4 linked regions of the Saccharomyces cerevisiae S288C genome follow. The gene in region 2 interacts genetically with the main gene of each other region. Each region holds a gene or a part of one and is shown on either strand. Other genes may lie near its edges.

The links.
Region 1: mutations in MDM35 (region 2) and EDE1 together harm fitness more than expected from each alone (negative genetic interaction), as found in Saccharomyces cerevisiae (3 studies listed by BioGRID, with this or other methods).
Region 3: mutations in MDM35 (region 2) and PHB1 together harm fitness more than expected from each alone (negative genetic interaction), as found in Saccharomyces cerevisiae (5 studies listed by BioGRID, with this or other methods).
Region 4: of MDM35 (region 2) and UPS1, a mutation in one rescues a mutant of the other (synthetic rescue), as found in Saccharomyces cerevisiae (4 studies listed by BioGRID, with this or other methods).

The regions. Positions count from the first base shown.
Region 1 is NC_001134.8:127,320-134,131, forward strand, and holds EDE1 (Ede1p), read right to left. Parts: upstream 4,722-6,812; coding exon 576-4,721; downstream 1-575. Other genes in the region: RRT1 (Rrt1p), read left to right, coding at 1-291; PSY4 (Psy4p), read left to right, coding at 5,105-6,430. UniProt on the Saccharomyces cerevisiae protein: Functions at the internalization step of the clathrin-mediated endocytosis (CME) as an early-acting scaffold protein. Requires clathrin adapter proteins, ENT1/2 and YAP1801/2, for normal spatiotemporal dynamics and viability.
Region 2 is NC_001143.9:338,656-341,676, forward strand, and holds MDM35 (Mdm35p), read right to left. Parts: upstream 788-3,021; coding exon 527-787; downstream 1-526. Other genes in the region: DNA damage-responsive RNA polymerase-degradation factor DEF1, read right to left, coding at 1-98; ASK1 (Ask1p), read right to left, coding at 1,013-1,891; SFK1 (Sfk1p), read left to right, coding at 2,657-3,021. UniProt on the Saccharomyces cerevisiae protein: Involved in mitochondrial distribution and morphology. Mediates the import of UPS1, UPS2 and UPS3, 3 atypical mitochondrial intermembrane space (IMS) proteins lacking the two major IMS-targeting signals, into the intermembrane space.
Region 3 is NC_001139.9:755,050-758,252, forward strand, and holds PHB1 (prohibitin subunit PHB1), read right to left. Parts: upstream 1,404-3,203; coding exon 540-1,403; downstream 1-539. Other genes in the region: FHN1 (Fhn1p), read left to right, coding at 1-201; PEX4 (E2 ubiquitin-protein ligase peroxin 4), read left to right, coding at 1,847-2,398; CCR4-NOT core subunit CAF130, read left to right, coding at 2,721-3,203. UniProt on the Saccharomyces cerevisiae protein: Prohibitin probably acts as a holdase/unfoldase for the stabilization of newly synthesized mitochondrial proteins. Involved in mitophagy; may act as an adapter for ATG8 that supports mitophagosome assembly.
Region 4 is NC_001144.5:539,394-542,229, reverse strand, and holds UPS1 (Ups1p), read left to right. Parts: upstream 1-1,693; coding exon 1,694-2,221; downstream 2,222-2,836. Other genes in the region: glycylpeptide N-tetradecanoyltransferase NMT1, read left to right, coding at 1-293; NCW2 (Ncw2p), read left to right, coding at 657-1,421; HCR1 (translation initiation factor eIF3 core subunit j), read left to right, coding at 2,641-2,836. UniProt on the Saccharomyces cerevisiae protein: Required for maintenance of normal mitochondrial morphology. Required for PCP1-dependent processing of MGM1.

The sequences.
Region 1 (6,812 bases), on a different chromosome or scaffold from region 2:
GTCTTTCTTCCTTCTATTTTGATTGGGTATATTTCTATTCGTGTTTCATTACTGGTCTGGGTTAATTGGGTTTTGGTTTGGTCCAGTTGTTTTCAAGTAGCCTTTATTTTTTCATTGTGGTATTTTATCTTATCGATTTATACTTTTTTTTATTCAAAGAAAATTAAACAGATAATCTCTTATGAGCCTAGCTACTTTGTTTTTTCTTACAGGGCCATTGACTTATGCCCTGAACGAGTCTTACTTTACTTTTTTTGTATTTTCAATAATGTCGTGTTTCCCATGTTGTAATACGCCCAAAGATTATGTGGTAGAGCTTTTTTTTTTTTTGGTTAGTGTATTTACCAAACTGGGATGATTTTCAAAACTTATGAAGCAGTTTCAATACATAACTGTCTAACGTAAAAATTTTATAAAATGGAAAAATAGATGATGATAACTATAACAATTTTAAAGTACAACATATTCTACTTTTAGAATAATTCACAATATACAAGGACGATCCTGGAAAAGGGTAAATATGATTCAGCTTCGAGGAAGAAGTACAAAAAGAAGACGAAATGGTCCATTACAGACTAAGCACTATCCAACAAAAAGTTAGTGGCGGCTTCTAGATCCCAGTTGCACTTTTCCAAGGCATTGTGCGCTTCTTCTTCAGTAAATCCCATGCCACTTAACTCCTCGACGGCTAGAGACTTTGGAGTAGTTGCAACCCCGCGGTTAACTATTGGACCTTTTGACAAGCTAGCATCAACGATAGGATCATTCTTCAATGGAATTGGTTGTTGTGGAATGCTTGGGGTAGCTACTTTGGTTGGTTCAGCTTTGGAGTTACCAAATCCAGCAAAAATCTCGTCCCACTCATCGTTGCTTACTTGAGCAGGGTCACTGGTTGACTGTTGTTGTACTTGTGGTTTTGGGATAGTTGGGTTAGAGGAACTAGTTAACGTCCCTGTAAAAGCGTTCATTTGTAGTTCGTCATCGAGATCCTTATGGTCTATGGTTTCAAATTGCTCCATCGACCCAGCATTCGCAACATTCTCAAATTCAGATTCCGAATCAGCACCATTATCTTCCTCCACAGCCGCTTGTTCTAACCCTGCGAATTCATCATCAAATTCGTCCTTAACAGGCAAAATGGAATTGGTGCTTGCCTTTTTTGAGTTACCTTCATTATGTGAAGGAGAAGTGCCTGGAGCGGGATATTTTATGACTTGTTCCGTGTGGATTTCCAAACTTGATGTGGGCTGGGCATTATAGGGAGTTTGAAGGGTCTTCACTGTTGCTGATGGAATTTCTCTGGTATCTTCAAACTCATCATCGTCTGAAGAGGATGAATCGCTTTCGTCAATATGCAATTCCTGAATTGGTGGAAACTCTTCATTTATTGTCTTTGCTTTTGGTTGAGCAGAGATTTTTGGAGATTCTTGGATAGAACTGACCGACTCACCGTCTTCATTTGAATTAGCCCTTTTTGTGGTACTTCCGTCTTCAATAACTTCTGTAGTTTCGTTGCTCAAAACATCAGTAGAAGCGGTAGCTGGGGTAGCTTCCCATTCACCAGGAATGTGAGATAAGTTTCCAGTATTATCTCTATTCGCAGTATTATTGATGGTGTCACGTTCTTCCAACGTTTCCGGTAGCTCAACATCATCTCTTACGGATTGAGGAGCATTGTTTGCAACAGACGATGTCAAGGATTGACTTCTTGGAATACCATATTCATTCAAATCACCATCAAACCTATCACTTAATGTTTCAGTTAAGTTTGGATTTGCTGTCTCATTTCCTGACTGGGTGCCGTTGTTTGTATTGGCATTTTCACTATCGCTTTGAGATCCCAAAGTTGGAACGTCTCTATCAAATACGTCACTTTCGGTTCTTTCTGTCTTTTCTTCATCGTCTTTAACCCGATTAACATTCAAGTTTGAATTCTCAACAGTAGTTTCGACAAATTTGGATACAGTGTCTTCGTGAACATTTCCTCTTGATGTGGCTTCTTTGGTTGTTGTATCTGTATTAGAGGCGCTTTTCGCAATAATGTCCTTAGCATCCTCAGGTAATTGTCCCATAGCTAAATTCATTTGTCTTTCGGATAACTCTCTCACATTGTTAGCGTATTCGATGTTTCTCTCCTTTAACTCTTGATCAGCTTTTTCAAAAGAAGCTTTTCTCTGTGATAGATCGTCGAACATTTCTTGCAATTTAGAAACGTGCTGATGGTAGAGATTTTCTTGTTCTTCAATTTGTCTGTTACGTTCTTCCAATTGTTTTTCACGGTCCGTTAAATCAGTATCCTTGTTGGACAGATCCTGGTATTTAGCTTGTAATTGTGCGTGTTGCTCCTCCACGGTCTTTTGGTAGTCATTTAACTCCTTTTGTTTAGTTAAGTAAACGCTTATCTTTTCGCCAAGACCATCGATTTCCTTCTGCAAGTTTGCTACTGTGACTTGATTCAACTCTAGCTGTTTTGAATTAACATCTACCATTGACCTTTCTTGCTTGACCTGTTGTTGTTTTTCATTTAATTGTGACTGTAAGGAGGCTGTCATCGAGTTCAAATTCGTAATTTGTTCTTTTAATTCTGCGTTCTTTGTTTGAGATTCTTGCAAATCAGTAGTTAGTTCATTGAGTTTGGACTCAGCGGCATGGTAGTTTGCTTCGGATACAGCCAACTGTTGCGCTAATGTTTCGTTTTCTTTGTTTACTTGAAGTACTTGTGCTTCCAGTTGTTCCGTTTGTTTAACATTTTGGTCATGGGTAGAACGTAAATTGTTCAATTTGATTTGAATGGAATTTTTCATCTCAGTAACACGTTTCAACTCCTGGGTCGCTCTTGACTTTTTGTCATTAGTTATACTTGCCTGCTTGGACAGGGAGTTTACTTGGTTAGATAAATTAGCCATTTCTGTGGTAGCATTAGATAACTGAGCAGAAGCTTCACCATCTGCAAATAAATCCTGGTTCTTGAATGCATTATTGGAAGATCTTGAAAAAGCGGATGCGCCTAAAGCAGCAGCACCCACTGCGGCGCCTACAGCAGCACCAGTGGCAGCGCTAGTGGCAGCGCCTGCTGGCATGCTAAACACAGAAAAGTTGGGAACTTGTGGCAGTGTTGTTGAAGCTGTACGTTTGACTGGACTTGAAGCATGTTTTGGAACTGGCGGAGGCTGAGCGCTAAAAGTATCACTGGATTCCCTTAGTTGCTCTTGTTCCTCTGGTTCTTCCTTGATTATACTTTGACCGAAGTTTGAGGTGGGAGTAAATTTCTTCAATCCAGAGGAGGAGTGAGTTAAAGGTGGAGGCTGCTGTGGCTGTTGTTGTTGTAATGTTGCTTGGCCATTGTTATTATCATATGAAAAACTATTATTTGTGTTGTTTTGAACCACAGTTTGTGCTTTAGTGGGAGAAGGAGAGCTGAATGAAGGGTTCAAAGCCAGTAAATCATTCAAAGAACCGTTATTTGAGTTTTGAGGAAGAACTTGTGGAACTGTTGGTTGAGTATTAACTGCTGGGGCAGAAACTTGGTGTGGCATATCCTGTAAAGAAGGCTTACTTGCTCTTGAGGGGATGGCAATTTGAGGTGCACTTTGTTGTTGAGGAAGTGGGTTTGGCGGATAAAGTCCTAAAGCGGGGGACTGTAATAATTCATTGGGGATAACATCCGGTAATTCGACACCAGCATTCTTTTTTTGAATTAAGAACATGGCAATAGCAAATTCCAATTTGGTGAATTCAGCATTGTTGTGGATGTCAGCTAAGTCCCAGATGGTGGCTAACGTCTCTTGGTTTAATCTAGAGGATAAGAAGAATGGAACCAACACAGCAGAGCTTAGCGAACCAGCATGTTGCTTATCTAATGAATCAAAAATTGCATCAAACTGTTGTTTTTTTTCAAAACTTAAAGACCAATCTGAAGCAGCATTACTGAATGCACCAGTAGATAGACGTGATATAGTAGAGTGTCTTGTTAGTGAAGATACGCCAGTGGAGTTAGCACTCAAAGGAGTAGTCCTGTTTGGTTGATTAACAACAACAGGTTCTAAACGAATAGAATCCCACAGCTGAGTAGGCAACACGGCCGGTGGTGTGTTCATACTAGGATGATGAGACATACATAGTTGGATCAAATACATGGCCATTATAAACTCAGATTTGTCTAAGACACCGGATGCGTCTCTATCACAAAGAGCCCAAATTTCACCTAAAGTTTGATTTGGTAATCTTGCCTTTAAAAATATATCCTTGGCTTTATCACCAGCAACAGTTTGAGCACCCTTTGCTGTCCTATCAAACAGTTGTGAAAATTTAGCAATATCATTTGAGGATAAGGCAGGAATATCAGTGTTGTTTGTATTGCCGGTTGCACTACCGCTTTGCATAGGGGCTGGGTTCTGATTTATAGAAAAAGAAGCCAGTTGAGTAGGTGTGCTCTCATATAGGGCAGCGGAAATTGGTTGGTTGGGAGCATTTTGCAATTGAGCGATCATTCTCAAAGCAGCCGAAAACTCGTTCAAGTTCAAAAACCCTTTATTGTCTATATCGACGGTAGCCCACACTTGCGATAGTAATTGCCCTGGAAGACCAGAAGACGCGAAGAGCGGTCTGACTGCCTCGCCAGTGACCACCCCGAGATCTTCCGTATCCAATTGGTGAAATTTCTGATTATAAAAGGCTTGTTCCTGAGAGGATAATGGAGTTCTAAAAGTAATAGATGCCATGGCCTATATCGTTCGAATCCTATTGAAAACACACAGATAAAAACAGGAAAAAAGATAGATCTAGAGCTTCACGAATCTATTTATTAGTTTCAACGCGCTATATTATTTCGCGAGAACCAGTAATTCTCTATTTAAAAGCACTCTATTGCCTATCACAAAGTGCTCTGTTGTGTGTTGTTTTCAATGTGCTTCTGAAAAGGGGTTTGTAATAGTTGAAGATTTTGATTATAGGAGAAATCTAATCCCCCTCCGAAGCGCCGACGGGTAATGATTGTGTAGTTTTTCATTTCGCGATCAAAAGCATGTATTTTGACACAGCTAACAATACCTATTATCATTTTTTGTTGGTGTTCTCATCGATTGTCAAAGCACAATAAAAAGCTATGAGCTCGACGATGTTGGATGATGTGGATAATAATATGATGGGTATCAAGTCTATCAGCCTTTATGAATTACTTAGCGATGTGGTGAAACAGGGCGACAAGACGCGATTGGTGACGGCGGGTCCCGAGCAAGTTTTGCCTGATTTAATCCGGCATATCACTGAAACAATACCGTTTGACCTATTTATAAACCTTAAGAATGAAATGAACGATGCGAGAAATCTCGTTACTAGATTAAATTGGCTGGGTAAGTTTCTGAATGATAATTTTTTACAAAATCATACATTTCCATTCACAATACTTCGGATATGCGAATTGTGTTATGATCCTTTCAAATATTACAAGATCAATGAATTGGAGAAGTTTGTAAATGCGCTAGAAAAATGTTGCATGGTAACTAGCAGTTGGCAGGTTTTTGATAAAACACACGGTGAGAAGCAAGAGGACGATAAGGAGAAAGATATTAACTTCATCAAGAATCAAGAAGATGTCTCACTAATGAAGATACCGTGGATGACCGAAAACAATACTAGGGAGTTGGCACCCTTTATTAGAGAAATCGACTCTATAATGAGTGTCAACCTAGGCTACGATGACGAGGATGAAGAGGAAGGATTTTTTGATGGTGATGAAGATAGGGAGATGGGGAATAAGAGTAAGCGTAATGTTTTGCTGAAAGATGAAAATTTCATGGTGGAAGAATACTATGAGGATGATTGCGGGATAAACGATGATAATAGCGATAATAAAGGACAAAATTGTCAGAGCGATGTTACGAAGAATAATAGCGATGATGAAGATGACGATGACAACGACGACGATTATCGTGAAGATGGTGCAGATGAAGATGATGAGGATGATGATCACATGGGCAGCACAGATGACGATGAAGATGATGACGAAGATAGGCAGGCGGGCGAAAGTACCAAGGTGCAAAATTTTGACAAGAAAAATGAAACTCCAAGGAAGAGGAAGCCCACAGATTTAGATAACTTTGAATATGACGAATCACCATCATTCACAAACATGGATCTCACGACGCCAAAGAAATATAAACATACCGCAACGGGCAGGTTCTCCATAATAGAGTCGCCATCGTCTTCGCTCCTCAATGCCATGGACGGCAGTAATGAGATCTCATCGAGCCAGGAGGAGGAGAAAGAGGATGCTCATGAAAACCATGAGGGTAGAAGTGAAGGACTGTTACCAGGTGACGAATTAGTGAGTCCATCGATGAGCTCTTCACAAGAGGATAAGATGGTTGCGATTGCTGGTATTACCTACCGTGAGAATATTAGCAGTCCATTAGGCAAGAAGTCCAGATGATCGAGAGATGACTTCTCTACCAACAACTTCCCATTTGCATAATATCATTAAATATGTTTTACCAAAAAAAAGTTCATCTTTCTTATTTTTAAAATCGATAGTTCTTCAGGATCTTGGTCACATATATATATATATATATATATACACTTATATAAAATAAGACGTTTATTTAATCTTGTTTTCTTACGAGTTTCTTTTTTTTTCTTTTTTTATTTTCTACTTTTGCAAGGAACAGTGACCTTGCCAATAAATAATGAAGACTACTTGGGTTACTAGAATATAAAATACATGTAAAAAATTCATTTATGGTGTGAGTGTGCGAGCGTGCCTGTATACATCTAGCAGCTTGCTTATTTCTATTTTATGTGCATGGAAAATATAT
Region 2 (3,021 bases):
AACAATTCTGTAAGCGTATCTATTTTGGACTTTAGCGCAGGATTTAGTTTTTTACTACTATGACTATTATGATTAGACTTCCTAAATTGTGTAGACATTATATATATATGATGATGTAGATTATATTGAGAAAACGACCAAACAAAAATAAATATGTAAGTACTTTATGATGGTGATTTTTTTGGGGTAATTGGTAAGAGTTTTTCTTGTAGCTTCAAAAGATCAAATATAAAATACGAATGTTTCTGAAATTACTGTAAAAGACTTAGGAAAAGGAATGAAACGTTTATATGGGAGAGAACGAAAATTTTTCCTTTTCCCGCCACTACTTTTTGCCACCATTTCCCGTTATTTATTTGGGCGAGTGCTCACCTCCGACGGAATCACGGGTGACGGATATCCTAAAAAGGTAAAGAATTGAAACAGATCTATTAATATACGGATCACTATACATTATTATAAGTCGATATTGCAGTATTAGTATTTACATGTTGAATAATGCACATTCTGTGCTAAAATATATACTTCATTTGTCAACTTCTTTTAGTTTGCCGCCATTTTCAAACGGCGCCTCCTCCCTAGCTTCGTCTAGAGCAGGCTTAATACCTTGTTTGACGAGAGCTGCGTTGACACATGTAGTATAAGCGTACCATTGTTTTGAGCACTCGTTCTCAACGGATTTTCCCTTCAGGAATTTTTCGCTATACCATTCATTAAAACAACTATCGTATTTCGTCTTCAGGTCAGTGCATTCAGGCGCAAAACTAGCTGACATTATATTCCCCATATAAAACTGGTATTATTGTTATTGTAATTCAAGTTAAAACACAAACAGATGTTTTCTAATGACCTCTCCCGGCATATATCTGGCGCACTTAGAATAAATTTCTACATGCAAATACTCTGAATATTCTGAATGTGGCTCTCCCTATATCGAAGAAAAAATATAGCGGGCCCATTACCCTGCGTTCTGATATTCATCACTAGTAAAAATTGTATGTACTTATTTATTCTATCTATTCGTAGAAAAATGAATGATGGTCCCAGGCTTTGGTACTTCTTTCGTACTCTCTTCTTCATCGGGCCCTTCGTTGTTATCATCCGCTTGTCCCTTCGGGTGGTGGTGCCCCTGCTTCAGAGGCGAGCTCTCTATATTATTGCTGTTCTCATCGTCGTTATCGCCGTCGTTATTAATATGTTCTTCATGAGCCAGTTGCTTCCGCATTTTATTGGGCACAATCGGAGACGGTACCATGCTGGAACTAGACCCGTACTGCTGCTGCAAAAGTAGCGAAATCTTTCTTTTGCGGCTTTGTCTCTGTATTGTACTTTCATCTTGCTCATCATCAGCTCCACCATGACCCTCGCCTGTAAGGTCTGTTTGCTCCCTTGAAGGCACCGCCTCTGAACCAGTATCTTCGTCGCTAGAGTCCGGAAGTTTCAATATCTGTCCCGTGGATGTTATATTCGCTGTGTGGAAATCATCTATACTGTCGTTATTAAACATAGAATGGACATCCCGGTTGACATGTACAGCTGAATCTGCCTCGTTAGGCCCATTGTCTGTCTGGGACTGCCTACTCGCCTCTTCAGCGGATGTAGGAAATATACCAACATTATTGCTCACAAGGCTTTTGACTGGAGCGTTTCCCACTGGTGCAGCTGCATTTGCCTGCAAATTCACCAGCCCAGTCTCTTGAAACATAGTCCCCAGCCATTCGGTGCTATCCATGATCCGCTCACATATTTCTGAATATGTAGCCACGTGTGGGATGATGTCCTGGGTGATCTTATGAAAGCAGAAACTCAAGTTAGAGTCTATCTTCTGCAGGTTCACTGTAATTTCTTGATCAAGTTTTTCCAATGTTTCCTCTTTGCTTGCAGAATCCATTTTTTGTGTCAACAATCCCTTATGTTGCTCTTTCCATACGTTGATCAACCTGGCTCTATTCCCACCCCAAACTGTAGATATCTATTTTGTTGATGCCTCAGCTCACCAAAACAAACCAAAAAAACGGAAAAAAAAAACGGAAAAGAACGGAAACAAACGGAAAAGAACGGAAAAGAAAACAGGAAAAACTCGCTGTTCTGTTACCCGCGCGGCACTACCGCATTTAATCGGAGTAGCTACTAATCAAGCAAGGGCCTCCGTTCCTCTATGACGCACCGGACATATCGCATTTCCACTATAATAGTGCAAGTAGGACGGGATAAGGCCCAAGATTATCAATGAAGACTAACACAACGGTCTTGCCAGCCATATCCAACTCTAAACATCTTCCACGGCTGTTCAAAAACGAAGATCTCTTACCCCTCTGCGGCTTAAGGGCTCTGTTCAATTGAAGGATCCGCGGCAGTAAAGTAAATGGATGAAAAAAAAAAACTGGAAAAATAGCAACTTTTTTCAGCCTGGAAGATTTGTCATCTAAGCGAAGGAGAATGAAACCGGAATTTTCACTCCTTCTTAGGGGCATTCAGTTTATAAATATAGTTATTCCCTGAAGTTGAGATTTACTGATTTAACATCTGGACAACTAAAAACCTAAATAATAAGACACAATTTTTTGCGGGATTTTTTTTCCTTTAGATACTTTTAACATTCATAGTAAAAAGTTCTGCTACATAGTAAAAACACATAGAAGGTACAAGCAATAGCATGATTCAATTTAAAAGTCCAGGTAACTGGCTGTTCATAGTACCCTGGATTGCCTTCATTCCATGGTATGGTATGCTGATAGCCATGCTTATTTGCTGGGCCAGTCAAGGCCATCCCATATATTGGTTCATGCACTCGGAGCAATTCCCTGTGTACATTTCAGATATAGGTGCCACTAATTTAAGGCCACTGTTTATATCGTGCGCCGGCTGGCAGGGTCTAGGCTATGTAATCACTGTTGCCCTTGAGTTTTTTCAAAGATCCGGCTATCTGCCTTTCCAACTGAAAAAAAAAGACCCTTCTATCTCTGATTCCACATCTTATGCTGAGAAATTGCACAGCGGTAAATACTTAATGCCTCCATA
Region 3 (3,203 bases), on a different chromosome or scaffold from region 2:
ATCATACAAGGCTCAAGCTCCAGATGTCATCAATCTCAGGCTGCTGTTGCGTTTTTTTACTTTTCCTGTTTTCTATTCCTCATCAAAGTGACTGTGGCCACGATGGGTATGATGCAAAATGGTGGATTTGGCTCTAATACCGGATTCAGCAGAAGGAGGGCAAGAAGACAAATGGGCATACCTACAATTTCCCAGGTTTAAGCCTACTGGACTGAAAAAAAGGCAATTCGCGTACAATTTTCGTTGATCGTTCTTTATATAACCTTTGCATTAAATAAATTTAACAAAAAAAGTTCTTTCTAAAATAATATTATGGTGATACATGAATGTGCTTTAGTTTTTTCGTAGGCTCATCCATGTATATATATAAATGATAAAAAACTAAGTTACGATATTGATAGCATACGTATTCGTGTTGGTAACTAAATGGAAAGATGGAATATGTTATTGGCGTTGTTATCCCCCATATATACAGGTTTCTAATATGATTAAAAAAAAATTTTCTCCCCTAGTTTATTGTGTTCATAGCTTTTCCAGACTTAACGGCCAATGTTCAAAAGCAAGGAATTTGGTGATCCCGAAGACTCGCTGTTACCACCACCAGAATGTTGACTTGGTAAATAGACAACGTTAGATGAGTTTGCTAATGTTTGAGCGATGTCCTTAGAAGCTTCTAATCTTCTAATCAATAACAGACCATCACCAACTTTAGCTAAGGCTTTTGAAATGAATTCAGCACTTTCTGCTTCACCTTCAGCTCTGATAACAGAAGCTTGTCTCTCTTGCTCTGCCTTTTCGACAAGGAATTTGGCTCTTTCGGCATCTTGCTGTGCAATCTGCTTCTGCTCAACTGCTTTCGTGAATTCGGGACCAAACGTCATATGAGTGATAGAGACATCTTCCAACTTAATACCGAATTCGTTGGCCCTCGTAGAAAGCTCTTTTCTGATTTTTTGAGAAATAATTTCTCTCTGAGTAATTAACTCAGCAGCATCAAATTGAGCTACTATAGACTTTAAAACCTCATTGCCGATAGATGGTAACACTCTTTCGTCGTAATCGAGACCCAAATTTTGGTATATTGCGGGTAGCTGTAAGACCTCTGGTCTATGTAAGACTCTCAAGGTCAATGACACCATTTGCAAATCCTTCGTACCAGTATTGGTAGCAATGCTCTTTGGTTTCGTCCTCACATCGTATATGATCGCCTTCTGTAGCCAAGGCACCAAGAAATGAGTGCCTTCACCCACAACCTGTTGCTTTACACCATTGATTCTGTCGAAAATAACACCACGAGAACCACCCTTCACATCATACATGGAGTACTGAATCCCGCTAGCAATTATACCAATGGGCAACGCCACCTTGGTGATGACATCGATAAGTTTGGCAGAATTAGACATTCTTTTCTAAAGTAAATTATTGATTTTGAATGTAAGTTTCGTACCGTTGATGGTTGGTTTACCGATTTATTTTTTTTCCTCTTCTTTCTGCTTAATATTATATACCTCAACCGTTGCATCCATGAGATCGTCAAACTCCCTTTCCCTGAAATTTATTGATGCGATACATTCGCGTTACCCGTATCATCATGAAGACGAGTTTATTCTCATCAGTGTTGATCTCTCATACTTGAATAACTCATTTGCAATGGTCTAAGACTCCAACTATGTAGTCATAGTCATTCACTGAAGTTTCTCTTTTCGAAATCCTGAACGGAAGCGGAATATATGTGGTATATATCGCATATTACTGCTTCACAGCATGCAGCGCAGACTGGCCGGGTTATGCTGCCACTTACTGGAGACAACATAAAATATACATAATCATCGCCTTTATACATAATATGCCAAACTTCTGGATTCTTGAGAATCGTAGGAGCTATACGTCTGATACATGTATGTCGAGGATCGTGAAGGAGTACAAAGTCATACTGAAAACATTGGCCAGTGATGACCCCATAGCGAACCCCTACCGGGGGATAATCGAGTCACTTAACCCGATTGACGAAACCGACTTGAGCAAGTGGGAAGCTATAATTTCTGGGCCGTCAGACACACCTTATGAAAATCATCAGTTTCGAATACTAATAGAAGTCCCTAGTTCCTACCCCATGAATCCACCAAAGATAAGTTTTATGCAGAACAATATTTTGCACTGCAATGTTAAATCAGCCACAGGAGAAATATGTCTGAACATCCTTAAACCAGAGGAGTGGACTCCTGTATGGGATTTGTTACACTGTGTTCATGCTGTTTGGAGACTCCTAAGGGAACCCGTTTGTGATTCTCCACTTGACGTAGACATTGGTAATATCATCCGCTGTGGCGATATGAGTGCCTATCAGGGGATTGTAAAGTACTTCCTAGCAGAAAGAGAGCGGATCAACAACCATTGATACCACGTAGGATGGATGTGTTCGAATGGCAAACAATGGGCCCTCACTTTTATCTGATGCAATTTCTACCTTACCCGGGCAGCGCCAATTTATGAATACAAATACTTTAACAAATTGCACTATTGATGTATTGACACATTTGTATATACATATACATATATTAATAAGGAGCACGAATTTTTGACAAGTAGTGCACGCAATATCTACATTAGTTAGCTTTTCCATTGACGCTGAATTTTATTTTGGCAGCCCAGTAGATCGTTGAGGAGCTTTTTTCAAACACTTTTTCTCTCTTAACTCCACATACTTACGTAAGAAAGTGATGACGAAAAAGAAAGCAGCTACTAATTATGCTGAAAGGCAAAATTTAGCCAGTGAAGATTCTTCAGGTGATTCGGTTCATTTTAAGGACTTTATTCCCTTACAAGAGTTACTGAAAGATAAAAATTATGTTCCATCGGTGGAAAATTTGGAGAAGATCTTATATAATGAAACCATGTTTAATGATCAGAAAATATGCTCTAACCTATTGCTTGAGGCTCTCATAATTACGTTGTTCACAACAATTTCAGGGAAGTCAGCTTTACGATTAATTCAGACTTCTTCTTTGAAGGAAAGAAAATCCTGGGCCCAGTCCTTTGAAAATAACAGTTCTAGCTATGCTTCCATAGTACTGAGTTGGAAAGATAATGATATATTACTCCTGAAATTCTTAAGGTTTTTATTAGCAAATAAAACGGCCCCTCTTCAAATTAATCGGTACAATCTTCCAGAATACAAACTCCCGTTGAGCTTTTTAATTGTT
Region 4 (2,836 bases), on a different chromosome or scaffold from region 2:
TCCAATTCAAAGACAGGTTTGATCCAAAAGCTACTAAGGCTTTGAAAACAAGATTGTGTGAATTGATTTATGACGCTTGTATTTTGGCCAAAAACGCTAATATGGATGTTTTTAACGCGTTGACTTCGCAAGATAATACATTGTTCTTGGATGATTTGAAGTTCGGGCCCGGTGACGGGTTCTTGAACTTCTATTTATTTAATTATAGAGCAAAGCCGATTACCGGTGGCTTGAATCCCGACAATAGTAACGACATTAAAAGGCGTAGCAATGTCGGTGTTGTTATGTTGTAGTGGCTGAAAGGACGAGGCGTATATAGTTTTCGTGTACATAGCCGACAGAATTTGACCACATTTAGTTTTTCCGCATAGTCAATTGACGAAGTGAAAAAATAATTAATCCAATGGCTGGCTTTAGAGTGTCAGCCTCCAAAATAAATCCAAAAATAGACAAAGAGAATCACTATAATTACCGCCTTGGAGTCCAAGTTGGCTTGAGAACTCGCATTTATTTTTAGCGACTGAGGTAGCTGAAAAACGCCTACTTTCTCAGAAGGCGGTAGTGAGCATATATAAGTATGTAAGAAAGATCAACTCTTCTGGACTAGATACTCACCGATCTAGTGAAAATATAAACAAACCCAACATATATATAAAATGAAGGCCTGTTCCATATTATTTACCACCTTAATTACTCTAGCCGCTGCTCAAAAAGACTCTGGTTCCTTAGATGGCCAGAACTCTGAAGATAGCTCACAAAAGGAAAGCTCAAACTCTCAAGAGATCACACCTACCACGACAAAGGAAGCCCAAGAAAGCGCATCAACTGTAGTTTCTACCGGAAAAAGCTTAGTACAAACTAGCAACGTCGTCAGCAACACCTATGCTGTGGCTCCAAGTACCACCGTAGTGACGACGGATGCACAAGGCAAAACCACGACACAGTACCTATGGTGGGTGGCCGAAAGCAACTCTGCCGTAAGCACAACTTCAACTGCCTCTGTGCAGCCCACCGGAGAGACGTCAAGCGGAATCACCAACTCCGCATCCTCCTCAACGACATCAACATCAACGGACGGGCCAGTTACTATAGTAACTACCACGAATTCGTTAGGTGAGACTTACACATCTACTGTTTGGTGGCTACCGTCCTCAGCCACAACTGACAACACGGCTTCATCAAGTAAATCATCTTCGGGATCCTCATCAAAACCGGAATCAAGCACCAAGGTAGTAAGCACTATCAAATCAACTTATACCACTACGTCAGGTTCTACAGTAGAGACACTGACCACTACATACAAGTCTACAGTCAACGGTAAGGTAGCGTCCGTAATGTCCAATTCTACCAATGGCGCCTTTGCCGGCACTCACATAGCTTATGGTGCGGGTGCATTCGCCGTTGGTGCCCTTTTGTTATAGAATGTATAATCAGTTCTGTATACCACCACATAGTTCTGCATTTTAATAAAACTCTTTCTTTTTATACACTGTAGGTAACCAATAATATAACTATTGTTATCATCGTGCTTGCGTATTTTTTTTCTTTCGGGTGAAAAACTCCGCAGTATTTCTCGCTCTCCCTGGATAATAAGCTAGAAAAAAAAAATATATATGACAGATGGATGAGTAATCATATTCAATAAGTATTGTCTGGCTTCTGAGACGGCGGTAAGATATCCTTAAGAGTTGCAATGGTCCTTTTACACAAAAGCACACATATATTTCCTACCGATTTTGCCTCTGTTTCACGCGCCTTTTTTAATAGATACCCCAATCCATACTCCCCCCATGTACTATCCATAGACACAATATCAAGGAACGTTGATCAAGAAGGAAATTTGCGCACAACGAGGCTGTTGAAAAAGTCCGGAAAGCTGCCCACATGGGTCAAACCCTTTTTAAGAGGTATAACAGAAACATGGATAATCGAAGTTTCCGTAGTGAACCCCGCTAACTCCACAATGAAAACTTACACTAGGAATCTGGATCACACTGGAATCATGAAGGTTGAAGAATATACTACCTATCAATTTGACAGTGCTACAAGTAGTACGATAGCAGACAGCCGGGTGAAGTTTTCAAGTGGCTTCAATATGGGTATCAAATCTAAGGTAGAGGATTGGTCGCGCACTAAATTTGACGAAAACGTTAAGAAAAGCAGAATGGGCATGGCATTTGTTATCCAAAAACTCGAAGAGGCGAGAAATCCTCAGTTTTGATGTTCCCATTTAAAGATCTTTAAAGATATCACCATGGGCGAGCGAAATTGAGAAAACTAGTGCAGCTCGCATTTGGTCACGTCCTAAAAATTGTAAATAAGCGCTGGTTCAACAAAATTTAATATACACACATATATAATTATTTATTTATAACAGTCATTCTGCTAAACTATACATCAAATGTCACTAATCTTGATATTATGGTCGTCCCTGTATCATATTAGACGAACACACCTGTTTTTGGGCATTTTCCGAATTTTTTTTTCATGCTAGCTAAGTCAGAAGTACTACATTAAAGAATTGAGAACTGACTGCTCCCACCATTCTTGAACTCTCGCTTTAAATTATCTTACTATCTTTTGAGTTCCTTGTAACTATTCTATCCTAACCACCACCTCAAAAAAAAAAAAGTAATAAAAATGTCTTGGGACGACGAAGCTATCAATGGTTCTATGGGTAATGATGACGCCGTTTTGATGGACTCATGGGATGCTGAAATTGGTGATGACGAACCTGTCATGCAATCATGGGATGCAGAAGAGGAAGAAAAGAAGCCTGCCCCAAAGCCAAAAAAAGAACAACCAAAAAAGGTTAAAAAAGGGAAAGAATCCTCCG